2 linked regions of the Cricetulus griseus genome follow. The protein of the gene in region 2 interacts with the protein of the main gene of each other region in a biochemical or structural test. Links are inferred from orthologs where the notes say so. Each region holds a gene or a part of one and is shown on either strand. Other genes may lie near its edges.

Evidence for each region. The genes of interacting proteins can lie anywhere in the genome.
Region 1: of the proteins of Trim21 (region 2) and Usp4, one has a biochemical effect on the other in vitro, tested with the Homo sapiens proteins (2 studies listed by BioGRID). The link is inferred for Cricetulus griseus from reciprocal best matches to the Homo sapiens genes TRIM21 and USP4.

The regions. Positions count from the first base shown.
Region 1 is NC_048597.1:216,545,866-216,553,167, forward strand, and holds part of Usp4 (ubiquitin carboxyl-terminal hydrolase 4), read left to right. Parts: intron 1-1,099; coding exon 1,100-1,183; intron 1,184-1,740; coding exon 1,741-1,835; intron 1,836-3,157; coding exon 3,158-3,349; intron 3,350-4,018; coding exon 4,019-4,107; intron 4,108-5,806; coding exon 5,807-6,031; intron 6,032-7,302.
Region 2 is NC_048596.1:96,822,710-96,829,538, forward strand, and holds part of Trim21 (E3 ubiquitin-protein ligase TRIM21), read left to right. Parts: intron 1-71; coding exon 72-467; intron 468-824; coding exon 825-920; intron 921-1,951; coding exon 1,952-2,182; intron 2,183-3,898; coding exon 3,899-3,921; intron 3,922-4,465; coding exon 4,466-4,566; intron 4,567-4,869; coding exon 4,870-5,414; 3' UTR 5,415-6,829. UniProt on the Homo sapiens protein: E3 ubiquitin-protein ligase whose activity is dependent on E2 enzymes, UBE2D1, UBE2D2, UBE2E1 and UBE2E2.

The sequences.
Region 1 (7,302 bases), on a different chromosome or scaffold from region 2:
ACTGACTGACCCTCTGTCCCTGGGTCCCCTTGGACTTAGTCTGTGTGTGCACCCTTGACCTCTCTCTGTCAGACTTTATGTAAACTCATTCATTGTTGAGGATCTGTTGTAAAGGTCCTTGGGGCTTCTCTGTCACTTTCTCATTGTTTTCTATTTATGAAATTGTAATAACCTGGTTTACCTGCTTAATGGTTTAAGGTCATTGGCTCTTCGTGTCCAATTCTTTTGGTGGCTCAAAGTGTTTTCACTTAGTCTTCTGAACTTTTTAAAAATTTCTTTTTTGTTTTGTTTTTCTTTTGTTGTTGTTGCTTTGTTTTTTTTTTTTTTTCAAGACACAGTTTCTCTGTGCAGCTTTGGAGCCTTTTCTGGAACTCACTCTGTATAACAGGTTAGCCTCGAACACACAGAAATCCAACTCCCTCTGCCTCCTGAGTGCTGGGATTAAAGGTGTGTCCTATCACTGGCCTGACACCCCACCACCCACTTTCTAAGCAAAGGCAATATTCTCTGGGTGTGATGGTGCACACATTTCCTCAAGGGGAGCAGAGGCAGTTAGAAAAGATCTCTGTCAAGTTGAAGCCAGCTTGGTCTTCATAATGAATTTCAGGCTAGCCAGGGTACACAGTGAGGCTCTGTCTCAAAAAGGAAAAGAAAGGAAGGTAATACATAGTATCAAAGGCAATTTCTATGCTTTGAACAATTCTTTAAAGGACATAAGAGGAGGTGCGACACACATGCCTTTAATCCCAGCACTCAGGCCAGCACTTGGGAGGCAGAGGCAGGAGGATGTCTGAGTTCGAGGTCAGCCTGGTCTGCAAATCCAGAGAAACCCTGTCTGGAGGGGGAGAGGGTGGAGAGTAGTGACCTAATCCAAAAGTAAAGTATAAACAAAAACAATGCTTGGGAAAGAAAGAGGTGGCTGACTGTGCCTGAATGTTGAAGCTTTGCTAATATCAAAGACTTGGCTCTGTCTACTTAACTCACCTGGGCCACACACTGCCTCTGGAAGGGTCTTTATGTCCCCATGATGTGTGCTTCTCCAAGGTCACTTCATGTCCCTTGGAGTACTCCTATCACCTTGCCTGTTTCTCCTTTGCAGTGCCGTGTGACTGTGCCATTGATGGGGGCCATATCTGACCTGTGTGAAGCACTTGCTAAATTGTCTGGCATTGCTGCAGAAAATGTAAGTGGCCCTTAACATGGCTAAGTCACTTCATGGCCCCTTGGAGTTTCCTTTCCAACTTTTAGCCACTTTTGGAAGGTTGTTATTGGACAGCACGAATGTCATCATTGGTGTATGTCTTGATTCCTCGTGGCTTCTGGCCTTGATCATGATCCCTTCCAGCACAGGGAAACACCATTTTTCCTCCCCTGCAATGATGCTGCCCATTGTCAGAGGGACAAGAGTAGGGCTCTGCTTCCATCATTGTGTGCTGTGTGGGGTGTGGAGACCAGCTCTGGAAAGCCACCGGGGTCTTTAGACAATGACAGTCTCTACCAGCGCTCGCTTCTCACCATGCCTACCACTGGAGGGCAGATGTTACCAGCATGCCAGTGCTGCTAACAGCCATGTTCCTCCCTTTCATGTCCTGGCCCTAGCCTTGGGACCACTCACATGGTGTTTCTCTGCAGGCAGCACTACAGAGGGGCATTTCCGCCCTTTGTTTCTGGGTTGTAATCAGTGAGTAGGAGCTCTGTGAGCCATCCTGTCATGTTTATGTACTTACTCTTGATTCTTAGATGGTGGTCACAGATGTATATAATCACCGGTTCCATAAAATTTTCCAAATGGATGAAGGTTTAAGCCACATTATGCCTCGAGATGACATTTTTGTGTAAGTACTTAGTAGTTTCTGATATATCACCAGAAGGACACTGTGGAGGCTTTGTCCTGTTTGTGTTCCCAGGTCTGACATCATTGCTCATGTGTATCTGTCCTAGTGCCTCCCAAGGGAAATGTACGTTCAGGAAACTGAGCATTTGTCAGTACTCAGAAGCATTGCACAAACACAGCTTTGGTCAGTTGTTTGTTTCTTAAAGAACTAGCTCAGTGGTTCTGCTCTCAGCTTCCTTGCTCAGTAAGAGTCATAGCTCTACCATGTACTGTTGGCGCACAACTTTAATCCCAGCAAACAGATCTCTGGGTTTGAGGCCAGCCTGGTCTACATGGTGAGTTCCAGGACAGCTAAGGCTACACAGAGAAACCCTGTGTCTCAACCCCATCACCACCCCACAAAGTCACGGCTGTATGAGAGACCAGGTCAAACAGAGGGCTGTAGTATAGAGGGATTTGGGCTCTGCTATGGTCTCTGATCCTGAGGCAGGTGTCATGGGGCCACAGTTCCCATCTCAGAAAAGAGTAGGTGTTGGCGGCTCAGGCAATCTCAGATATTTCAGCTTGCTCATCACCATGAAGACAGTGCAAAGTGCTGCTTTGTTGAAAAACAGGGTATGTGTCATTTTCCTGGGTACAGAGGTTGCAATGGACTTACTAAATTTTGTGGCTGCTCCAGCCAACCACTTGTTCAAGGGAACTTTACTACTGGCCCGTGGTAATTTCTATAATCCCAGCATTTGGGAGATTGATGCAGAAAGGTTTCTGTAAGTTCAAGACCAGCCTAGGCTACATAGAAGGTATAGGCCAGTCTTGGCTACCTAACAAGACCCTCTCAAAAACAATCAGCTTAGCTGGTAGAGTGTTTGCCTGGTATACACAAAGAACTGGGTTTGACCCTTATCACCAAATAAACCAGGTATGTTTGTAATCCCAGCACTTGAGGGTGGAGGTAGAAGGGCTAGAAGTTTTAAGGTTCTTCTCAGTTACATGGTAAATTTGAAACTTGCCTGGGAAATGAAAGGAGGGAAAGAGACAGAGACTGAAAATTCACTAATTTTAAAAAGTTCAACTTTTTAGTGAGAAAAGGTGAAGTTAGTAGATGGGTTCCTGAGAACAGCCACACTTTAAGTCTTTTGGGGGTTAGTCCAGAGTCTGGGCTGTGTAGATTCAACATGGGTTGACAGTGATCAATCTGTAATCACTGTGGAAATGGCTTATCTCCCTTCTGTTGAAGGTACTCTGTCCTTTATAATCACAATCCTCACCACCTTGCTGCTTATATCTGTCTTGCTGATGGGGCCTCTTCTATGGCTCATGCAGGTATGAGGTCTGCAACACTTCCATGGACGGCTCGGAATGTATCACTCTTCCAGTCTACTTTCGAGAGAAGAAGTCCAGGCCATCAAGTACTTCTTCTGGGGCGGTGCTATATGGACAGCCACTTCTCGTTTCTGTCCCTAAGCACAAGCTAACCCTCGAGGCTTTGTATCAGGCTGTTTGTGATCGTATCAGGTTGGTGCCAGAAGTGCAATTTGGTTGTTTTCTGAGATTAATGGGTCCATCTAGCAACTTTAGTCATTTGTAGTATGTCTGTTGATCCATTTACTCTCTTTTGTGAAAAATGGAATTGTGCCAGCCCCTGGGAGGGTCAGGGTAGAAGCTAAAGGGATGGAGTAATTGGCACATATAAGTACCATGAGCCAGGGTTTGTGCAGACCTCCGATTCCTAGAATCATATCAAGTATACTTAGATGGCACTCAGTTGGAAGAGTGCTTGCCTAGCATGCACAAAGCCCTGTGTTCACTCTCCACCACTCCATAAAGAAGGCATGGGTATAGTGTGCACCTGTAAGCTTAGCACTTGAGATGTGGAGGCAGGTGGGTCAGGAGTTAAAGGTTATTCTTAAATATGTAGCAAATTTGAGGCCATCCTGGCATGTATGGAACCTTGTTTCCAATAAAATTAAACAATGCACGTGACCCAGAAACCATGAAACTGGCCTTTCTTGGTATGTTTATGGGCTTATTAAGTTAACATGTGATTTCTTAGGTGCATCTTAATTTCTTGAACCGTTACATTATGTTTGTTAGTAACTGAATATATAAATTATGTACTGCTTCATAGCTGCATTGTGGAGAAAGAGTTAAAAGTTAATACTAATAGTCTTTTGTTTTTTTAAGCCGCTATATAAAACAGCCTTTGCCTGATGAGTTTCTCAGCTCACCCTTGGAACCTGGGGCCTGTAATGGCTCCAGGAGCAGCTATGAAGGTGAGCATTCCTGCTGTGAGGCTATGGTGCCTCAATTTCCCTCTTCTTGGAAGAATCTGAGGTGGGCTGGTAGAGGTCAGGGTCTCTTGGGAGTCATTGTTAACCTTTGTACTTTGTAGAGTCCTCTTAGAGCCCTGCACATACACATTGGGTTTCATCTCAGACACACTGAGCCTAGAGGGATTGGGTAACAAGGCTATGGTTATGAAATAGAGTCAGGATTTACTTGGTTGCCCTATGGTTGTGACCAGTACACCTTTTATCCCAGCACTTGGAAGGCAGAAGCGGGTGGGTCTCTGAGTTCCAGGCCAGCCTGGTCTACAGAGGGAGTTCCAGAACAACCTCTAAAGCAATACAAAGAAACCCTGTCTTGAAAAACAAAAAACAAAAAAATTTAAAAAATTTATTGGTTTTGCAGTGCTGGAGATCAGGGCTAGAGTCTTGAACAATCACTGACCACTGTGCTACCTCCCAGGCCTCCAGAATCAGAATTTAATTCTCATTGTTAGCATAGCCTAGTTGGTACTTACCTAGCATGTACCTGTGCAAACCATCCTGCATGGCTGGTGAGCCTTTAGTGCCCAAAGATGACAGACGTCCTGGTCAGCTAATCAGAAGATTGAAGCTGGCTATTTGGGGCATTTCTGTCTTCCTAGGAAGCTATAGTCAGTGGCTGACTTTAGGTTCTGGGAGAGAAGGAAATCAGTGTGGAAAAACAGTACAGTGTGTTCATGGCATCCCTTGTGGCCAGGTGCTGACGAGCCGTCTTTACCAAGGAGCACACCTGTCCTGCCGTGTAGTTGCTACTCTTCTTTTGGACACTTAGGTGATCATGTGCCTTTATGCCTCCCATAAATGCCCTCAAAGCTTTGGTTTTGGTGGATTTTTAAATTTTTTATTCATTACTCTTGTGTCTTATGTGTGCATAGTATGTGTGTGGGCATGTATGAATGAGGTTAATTTTTTGGAGTCAGTTCTCTCCATCCATCCTTGTGCAGGCTTTGAGGCACAAACTCAGATTACCAGGTTTATGCAGCAAATGCCTGTATCTCTGACCAGTCTAGACGACCCCCCCCCTTTTTTTCTAGCCAGACTGGGCTAGAACTCAATTTGTAGCCCATGCTTGCCTTTAGTTCCCAATCCTCTCTTCTCTCACCTAAGCCCTGGGATTGCAGGATTTTAAATAGACTTTTAAATTTTGTTCCTTGCAAAACTGTTTTATTGAGTGTTTCATTTTAGTGTGTTTTTGTCTGTGAACCTAATGATGAGGACAAGAGGGAACTACTTACAAAAGACTCATTAAAGTTCTCTGGGTCTCTGCTTCCTCATCATGGACTCCTAGCACACCTGTGTGCCCCTTGGGGACTGTCACATGTTAAACAAATACCTAATACGATAGAGGTGTATAAAGGTAAATGCACTTTAACATACACAGCAAAATTGGAAGAAGTAATAACACACTTAAGTATTAAATAAACATTTTATGGTTTATTTGTGGGTTTTGTTGTTTTGAGACCGGGTCTCATGTAGCCTAGGCCAGCCTCAAACTTGCTGTGTGTTTATGGCTGGCCTTGAACTCACTATCCTGCCTCAGCCTTCTGAGTGCTGGGGTTATAGATAGACATCACCATACCTGGCTAACTAAAAATCTCAACATTGACATATGGGACTCACATAGATTGTTTTTCATGTGCGTCAGGAGACGACGATGAAGAAATGGATCATCAAGAGGAAGGAAAAGAGCATCTGTCAGAAACAGAAGGCAGTGGTGAGGACGAGCAGGGAGATGGCCCTAGTGAGCCCACCCACAAGGTGAAGGGCCAGCCAGGGCACAGGAGGCTTTTCACCTTCAGTCTTGTCAACTCCTATGGCACTGCTGATATCAATTCACTTGCAACTGATGGGAAACTACTCAAACTCAACTGTAAGTGCTCTCTGATGCTCAGCTAGACTGACACACTGCCATCTCCCTGAAAGTCACTTTACCTGACACTCACTCCATCAGGTTTTAACAGCCTTTATGTAGTCAAGTGAGTCCCTTGGACAATGATTGAGGACACACACACCCTCCATCCTTCAAAGGGTTTTCACCTGACTCCTTGGGTAATGGGGCAGCAAGTGTGACACAAACACAAGCATGTTCCCCCGCTCCATTTGTTTGTTTATTTTTTGAGATAGGTCTCTCTGGCAGCCTTGGCTGACCTAGAACTCGTTTTGTAGACCAGGCCAGCCTTGAACTCACAGATCTACCTCACCTGTCTCTGCCTCCCAGGTGCTGGGATTAAAGGAGTGTGCCACCATTCTCTTGATTATTTTTATGTATATGTATATTTTATGTATATGATTGATGTTTTACCTACATGCATGTCTGTGCGCCACGTGTGTGCCTGGTGCCCATGGAGACGAGAAGAGGGCATTAGATCCCCCACAACTAAAATTACAAGTGTGAACCAACCACCAAGTGGATGCTAGGACCTGAACTTGGGTCCTCTATAAGAGCAACAAGTGCTATCTGTCTAGCTCCAAAAGATAGTCGTCTCTTGTAGGTCTGCATTGCCTCAGACTTACATGCTGGCCTCGAACTGCTTATCTTCTGTCTCCCTCATGAGCCCTTACATTCCAGGCACACACTACTATGTCTTGCTTTCACCTCTGTAACAACATTCCTCTGGCTCAGTGACACTTCTGTAGTCACGTTAGGAGCTTTTCTGTAGACTTGTTTCACTCATAAGAATGAGCTCATTATTCTCTTTGTCCCCTTAAAAATACTTAATCAAATATGATGCACTTAGAGGGTAGTTATAGATTTATGTATCAGTTCCATGGAGCTTTGTAATCGTGACAGCATCTCATCAGGAAGAGGACATTCATCATGATGTCTCCATGGGCAGGGGAGAAGCTGTACCCTTTTGTGTCTTTTGCCTTCTTTCTTTAGGACAGAAATTAAATAATTAACTATCAATCCTTCACCTTCCTTTTTCTGTCCCCCCCCCCTTCATTTTAATTTTAAAAGTTTTATTTCATGCGTTTGGGTGTTTTCCTGCATGTATGTTTATGCACATGTGTGTGTAGTGCCTCTTGTAGTACCCAAGAGGAACTAGAGCTGTAAGAACTTATCAGCCTCCCAAATTGAGTACTGGGGACTGAATGCGCTCCAGTATTCTACAAGAGCAGTAAATGACCTGAATCACTGAG
Region 2 (6,829 bases):
TTGCTTTTGCTTTTGTCATGCAAACTTTCATTTATCTCTTCCCTCCTCCTCTGCACTCAAAATCCTCCAAGATGGCTCTGGAAAAGATGTGGGAAAATGTCATCTGCTCTATCTGTCTGGACTCCATGGTGGAGCCTATGAGTATCGAATGTGGCCATTGCTTCTGCAAGGAATGCATTTCTGAGGTCGGGAAAAATGGTGGCGGTATATGTCCCGAGTGCCGGCAACAGTTTCTGCTCAGAAACCTCAGGCCCATTCGACGTATAGCCAACATGGTAGAAGACCTTAAACAAACAGCCGGGGATGCCAATAAGGACACCCAGGAAGACCGCTGCATGAAGCATGGAGAGAAACTTCTAGTGTTCTGTGAGGAAGATGGGCAGGCCCTTTGCTGGGTGTGTGCCCAGTCTGGGAAACACCTTGACCACACCAAGGTCCCTATTGAAGAAGCTGCTCGGGTATACCAGGTGAGGCTCTAGCACAGAGACACCCATAGATATAAAGAAGGTGCTCCATGAAGAATGCTCCGCTCCCCAGCATAGTGACTGAGAGTCATCCTTACAGGGGAATGGAGGGTAGTTTCTCATTGAGAGGAACTTGTGCATCAAATACAAGCTTATTTCTCAGGAGCCGAGACTATGCCGTGGGATGTGCGTGGATTATGCTTCCTCTGGCTTCCTGGTGAATTAGAAATGTAATGACCAGATCCCATTCCCCATCAGTGTCGCTCTGTTTTGTAAGACATACTAGGTTTCCCCCAAAGTCTTCCCATTCCCCTCTTCCACATCTCTATCTGGGGACTAACCTACCACCTTTTTCTACAGGAGAAGCTCCTCGTGGCTTTAGAAAAACTGAGGAAAGGGAAAGAATTCGCCGAGAAGCTGGAAATGGATCTTGCAATGCAAAGAACAGACTGGAAGGCAAGAACCCGGGGATAGGCTGGGTCCCAGGTCTTGATCTCAAGCAAGCATTAACTATGACTGTGCCTATCCAAGGGGTGGGAGAATTGTTATATAGGTCACTCCCCAAGGACCATCCACACTATATCTCTAGACAGAGAAGAATTTAAGAAAGAAAGAAGGAAGGAAGCTTAAAATCAGATGAGATTTCCCCCAATCTGTCACAAAGTTCAAGAATTACTGCAGAAAGTCTAAGAAGGTCACACCATCCCTTCTGACCCTGTCTCGGTGAATGACGGTCTTGTGATAACAGGTCTGAGGTATCCTGTGAGAAAATCCCAACTCCTGCACCCTTTAGACATGACAAAGAGGGGAGGGAACAGCCGGAAAGGATCTATGTAAGTCTGAGGTAGGAGGCCCACCTGACTCGGTGGCTGCTTAATGATGACCAGGCTATTAGTGCAAAGCCTGGTAAAGAATTAAAGTCTGTCGCATTGGTAATTTGCCAGGAGAAAAAAGGATACATCTGAAATTGACAAGGAGTGTAAGGGGCTCAGAGCAATCACAGACCCCAAAAGTGGAATGGGATTAGCAAAGACTGAATCAAGCTGTGGTGGCAAAAGAAACGAGATCATCTGTGCCATCCGGTGACCCTCCCAAGATAGCAAAGACTGTACTGAGGCCACTGTTGTCCCCTCGGGCCTAGGAATTGTGCATCATTGGAAGTGGGAAAAGATTTTACTCTCTGTGACTTGTCAAGATAGAAGGAGAACACAGGGACTCACATAGGCATTACTGGGTTTTGGAAGAAAAGTTGAGAAGATGTTGGTGCCAGAAGTTGCTGTGTGCCACTTAAACAATGCTGTTTGCTAGAGGCCAGCCGTGTGCACACTGGAGAGCGCACATTGTTGTGGGTGTGTGCGCGCACCTATTCCCAGACATAAACAGAGGGATGAGTGACCAGGGAACAGAAACGCCTCTGCCACCAAAGCCTAGGAAATTTTTATTAAAACTAAAAATGCAAAACTCCTGTCTTGCCCTTGCCACCTCAGAGAAACGTGGACATACAAAAGTCGAGGATTCACTCGGAGTTTGTACATCAGAATAGCTTGCTGGCCAAGGAAGAGCAGAGGCAGCTACAGAAACTGGAGAAGGATGAGAGGGAGCACCTGAAATTCCTGGGGGAGAAGGAGGCTGAGCTAGCTGAGAAGAACCAGGCCCTGCAGGAGTTGATCGCAGAGCTGGAGAGGAGGAGCCGGGGCTCCCAGCTGGAGCTACTGCAGGTGAGACCCATGCACAGGCACCAGGAGTAACTGGGAGAAAACCAGAACTCTCTGGAATGGCTCCTAATGCAAGTGCTGCCTTAATCTTTGGGACATTCTTAAATAAACAGAAATGTGGACCCAGGAGTGGCTTCCATTGCAGAACAACAGGGTATAGATACAAGAGAACATGCTCCAAGTAGTAGCCAATAGATGGACATCCCCGGTAGTGCCAGGTGTGGGAGCTGGAGCATGACACTTAGCACACGTCACCAGGATATATGGATATATATATATATATATATATATATATATATATTATATATAAATATTTACATATCTCAAGTGGTTTTCTTTTTTAAGGAATTAAATGAGAACATCCATTCTGGTGCTTAGACAAGTAGCCATAAGAATGTTTTTGAAAGTATAATTTCCAAAACTGAGTTGTGTCATTTCTCTCCATAGTGATAGGTTATGGGACTGTTTTTCTTTCCTATAGTCAGTGTCTCCACTGATGAAGCCATAAGGGGAGTGGATGCAGGAAAGTGTGCCTAACATTAGTCGTAGTTGGATTTTAATACTTCCTGGATTCCTGAGAGCTCCCTACATGATTTTTAATTTGTTCTGCTTCTGCAAATAGTCTCACTCTTTCCCCAAAATAAATTTAGCTTTAAAATAATTTTTGCCAAGGCATGATAACTAAGAAATTACATATTGGTGCTACTGTTTTTTCTAATTTTTTCCCGTAATGATAACTGCAGATTCCTAAACAGCACACAGATGACTTACCATGGTTCAGGTAAGTGCTACTGTGATCCAAGTCCATGGGTGAGAAAACTAAGGAGCAGAGACATTAAGAGACTTAGTGAGAGAGTCAAGCTAAATGACGTCAGTTTATCTAAGTAGTAAGAGACAAAAAAATAAGATGAAACACGTACATCATTATTTTTAAAATCCGTGTGTATTCTAAAGCCATCTTGCATCCACCCATGATATGTTAGCCCCACCCCACGTTGGAAGACTATGGTCTAGATGATCTCTGTGCTTCTTTTCTCACACCTCCGTCCCTGTCTCTCAGATAAACATTTCCTTGAGTGTTTGTTCAGAAAAGCTGATTATATTGGTTTGGCTTGGAAGGCTTTCCCTTGCTTTTCCCTTTCCTATCCCTGAACTGGCTCCCTAGTGCCTTTTGACTGAGCCTAGAAGGTTGCCAGTTCCAACATTATGGGAAGGAATATTCTCACTTAAGCTCACTCTAAATAAGGCAGAGGATTAACCACAGCACAGGACAAAGCTTTCAACCAACTAACCCTTTCTCCCCAAACTATTCAATCCCATAAATGGCAAGGAGCCTTTCTGGATATCCTACCTCAGCAGGAAGGATATCCTTCCTGCAACTGCCTCTGGGCTTCAGTCAGGTTGTGTTATTTATTTTCCTCTTCTACTGTCTCCATGGTAAACCCCCCTCCTCCAAGAACCTAGCCCTTCTAATTTGTTTTCTCAATCAGTCTGTAAAGCCCTGGTCATATCCTAGCTACAGGCCATATCCATGTTAGCTTCCTAGATATTCTAAGAGCAGCCATGAGTCCTTTCTGCTAAGAACTAGTCAGAATTGTCTGTGGCCCAAGGAAAGGCTGCAGAGCAGGGCCCAGAGGAAACATGGGTGATGTCACATGACCCTGGGAATTCTGTCAATCAGAAACTCCAGAATTGACTCTGTGTCTCTTCTCTCCTCAGGAGGTGACAATTGTCCTGGAAAGGTAAGGAGAGGTTTCCTCAGTTAGAAAAGGGAACGGGAAGTATGTGTGCATAGAAATGGTTACTGAGTTAGGCACACATGTATTGGGAGTTTTCCCCATGCACCCTATTCTCAGAAACCTGGTCCTCTCTAAATTGTTCTCTGGCCTCAAAAGGCTAATGGGCATCTCACTTGGTGGATTGCCTGATGTAGTTAGACTATATCATCTTTATAAAGTCCCCACGCCAAAAAAAGGTAATCTGAGTCTGCTAGGACTCCCCAGGTTCTTCACAGAACTCACCCTATTAGATGGTTGCCTGAAAACTAAATGGAATCCACTTAGTAGTGACCTCTAGCTTTGGGAAGAGGTGGAGGTTTATTTGAGTTTCCTAGAACGTGGAACTCTGAAACTATTTTTTTTTCCTTTCACATAGACAGTGAATTCATGAGTATTTGTAAGTTTGTATTGAATGTGATTATCAAAGTCAGTCCATGAAGAATGTCATTAGGACCTAGAGTAGAAGACAGGAGTGCCAAGTAAGATTCTCAAACTCTTTTTTCCCTAGGAGTAGATCCTTGAACCTGGAATCATTAGATGTTACCTCCCCGGACCTGACAAATGCATGCCATGTGCCAGGGCGGAAGAAGATGCTGAGGACATGTTGGGGTGAGGTGACTTCTAGGAACTGTGGGCTGGAATAGAAGGGGATAATAAGGGTGCAGAGTAGACGGTCATGGAGAGCACAGGATGGTAGCATGTGGAAGAGGTGTCAAGAGAATGTAAGTGTAGTACAGACACACAGGTAAGGTTTCCTCACACGTCAGAGGAAGTACCTGGGTTGCTGTGGGTCATTTCCTCACATAGTGAGGTTCAGGGTCACCCCTCACCTTTGAGTTTGCATGAATGCCCTCACTACAGGCAAAGAGTTGCTGGCCCCACCCAGGCTTACCTGTGATCTTCTTTCTGCAGTACATATTACTCTGGATAGAAACACAGCCAACCCATGGCTCATTATCCCAAAGGATCGGAGACAAGCAAGGATTGGAGATAGCCGTCAGAATGTGTCTGAAAATGATGAGAGATTTAATAATTACCCCATGGTGCTAGGTGCCCAAAGATTCACCTCTGGGAAGATGTACTGGGAGGTAGATGTGACCAGGAAGGAGGCCTGGGATCTGGGGGTTTGCAGAGAATCTGTGCGGAGAAAGGGACATTTTTCACTCAGTCCTGAGAATGGCTTCTGGACCATTTGGCTGTGGAAAAAAGACAACTATGAGGCTGGCACCAACCCCCAGACCACCCTCCACCTTCAGGTGCCTCCATGCCAAGTTGGGATCTTTGTAGACTATGAAGCTGGCATTGTCTCCTTCTATAACATCACTGACCATGGCTCCCTCATCTACACCTTCTCGGAGTGTGCCTTTGCTGGACCTCTACGGCCCTTCTTTAATGTTGGTTTCAATGATGATGGAGGCAATGCAGCACCTCTAAAGCTCTGCCCACTAAAGATGTGATGATCAGGAGCTGGTGCATATTGACAGCACCTTCTGGACACTTGTTACCTCCTCCTTGTCATGATCAAGGTCCAATGACTACTGGAGGCCATTTCTGGCTACTGTTACTCACTTCCTGTTGGTGTTCCTCAGCCATGCTCTGCCTTTTTTGACCATCCAGTTGGAACCATCCCACACCTTCATCTCTTTAGAGGAGTCAGGGCCCCAGAATGAAGGCATTAGATGGAGATAACAGAAAGTCAATGTCAACTGACTTTCAACATCAATATTCCTAACATAGGTTCCTTAATGATTCCCTCCAGTGAAACAACTCCTCACAATGGACCAAATTCATCTAGCTCAGTCAAAATCACATTTCTGCCTCCTTTGTATGGCCTATTTTGTTTTCTTTTCTATATTTCTTGGCTATTACCTTTGGCCAGGTAGCTATTCCTGTATCTTCCATGGCTTGCAGAAGGGCTTCCTAGGAAACTATGTCTCAGTCCTTGTTGATAAAGCCCAGAATATGTGTCTTTAACATTGTATATCTTTTGGTTTGGGTTGGTTTTTCTGGTTGTTGTTGTTGTTGTTGTTGTTGCTGGAGGGTTTTTTTTAATTTGTTGTTTTGTTTGTTTGTTTGTTTTCCCTCCCCGGAATATCTTCCAGGGTAGTGAAAGTGGTTCAGGAAACAGCTAAATATAACAATGACAGTATACTTGATGTCCCCAGTGACAGCCAAAGTCTAGGTGCCATGCTAGCCTGGTGAGTCTTTGCAGTTGAATCTCACAAGAAAGGGAAAGTTGTGCTCAGAGGCTGACAGTTGTCAGTTTATAGGTGTGCTCTTCCCTGGTTCCATTGCCTTGAAGAAAGTGCAATTAGTAGCTGAGCTGGAACACAAATATATCCAGAGCTTCAAAAATGCTGTAAGCAGATTTAAGAAGGATGGATAAATGCACAATAAAGAAAATCCAGGATGATTTTTTTTAATTCAGTCAGTAATTCCAGAGGTTTTTCTATACACTATGGATGGAAACAATTATGACCCAGCAGCTGCTAGAAACAAGAAACTGCAGCTGCTCCCTTGTTGTTCCAACTCAAACTGAAGAAGCCTCTCAGCTCTCGCAGTGCAGCCTCACAGAGACCCATTTCAACACAGAACTTTGATGACTAAAGGTTAACCTGGGGTGGTGTGAAAGGATCCTGGTGTGGGCAACTAGGATGAAAAATGTCCAGTTGGTGCAACAGGTCAGAATATTGAAGCTTACTACTGAAGACTTAACAGGAGAGAAATGCCTACCTCAGAAAGCTGTAAGAATCATTGAGCTAGCTGGCTAGGAGGATGGGCAGAGGACTATAGACATTCTCTAGCCTCAAGTGAAGACTTTGTGGTACCCAATGAAGAGGCCTGGGAGTAGAACAAGAAGAGTTTCAACAGC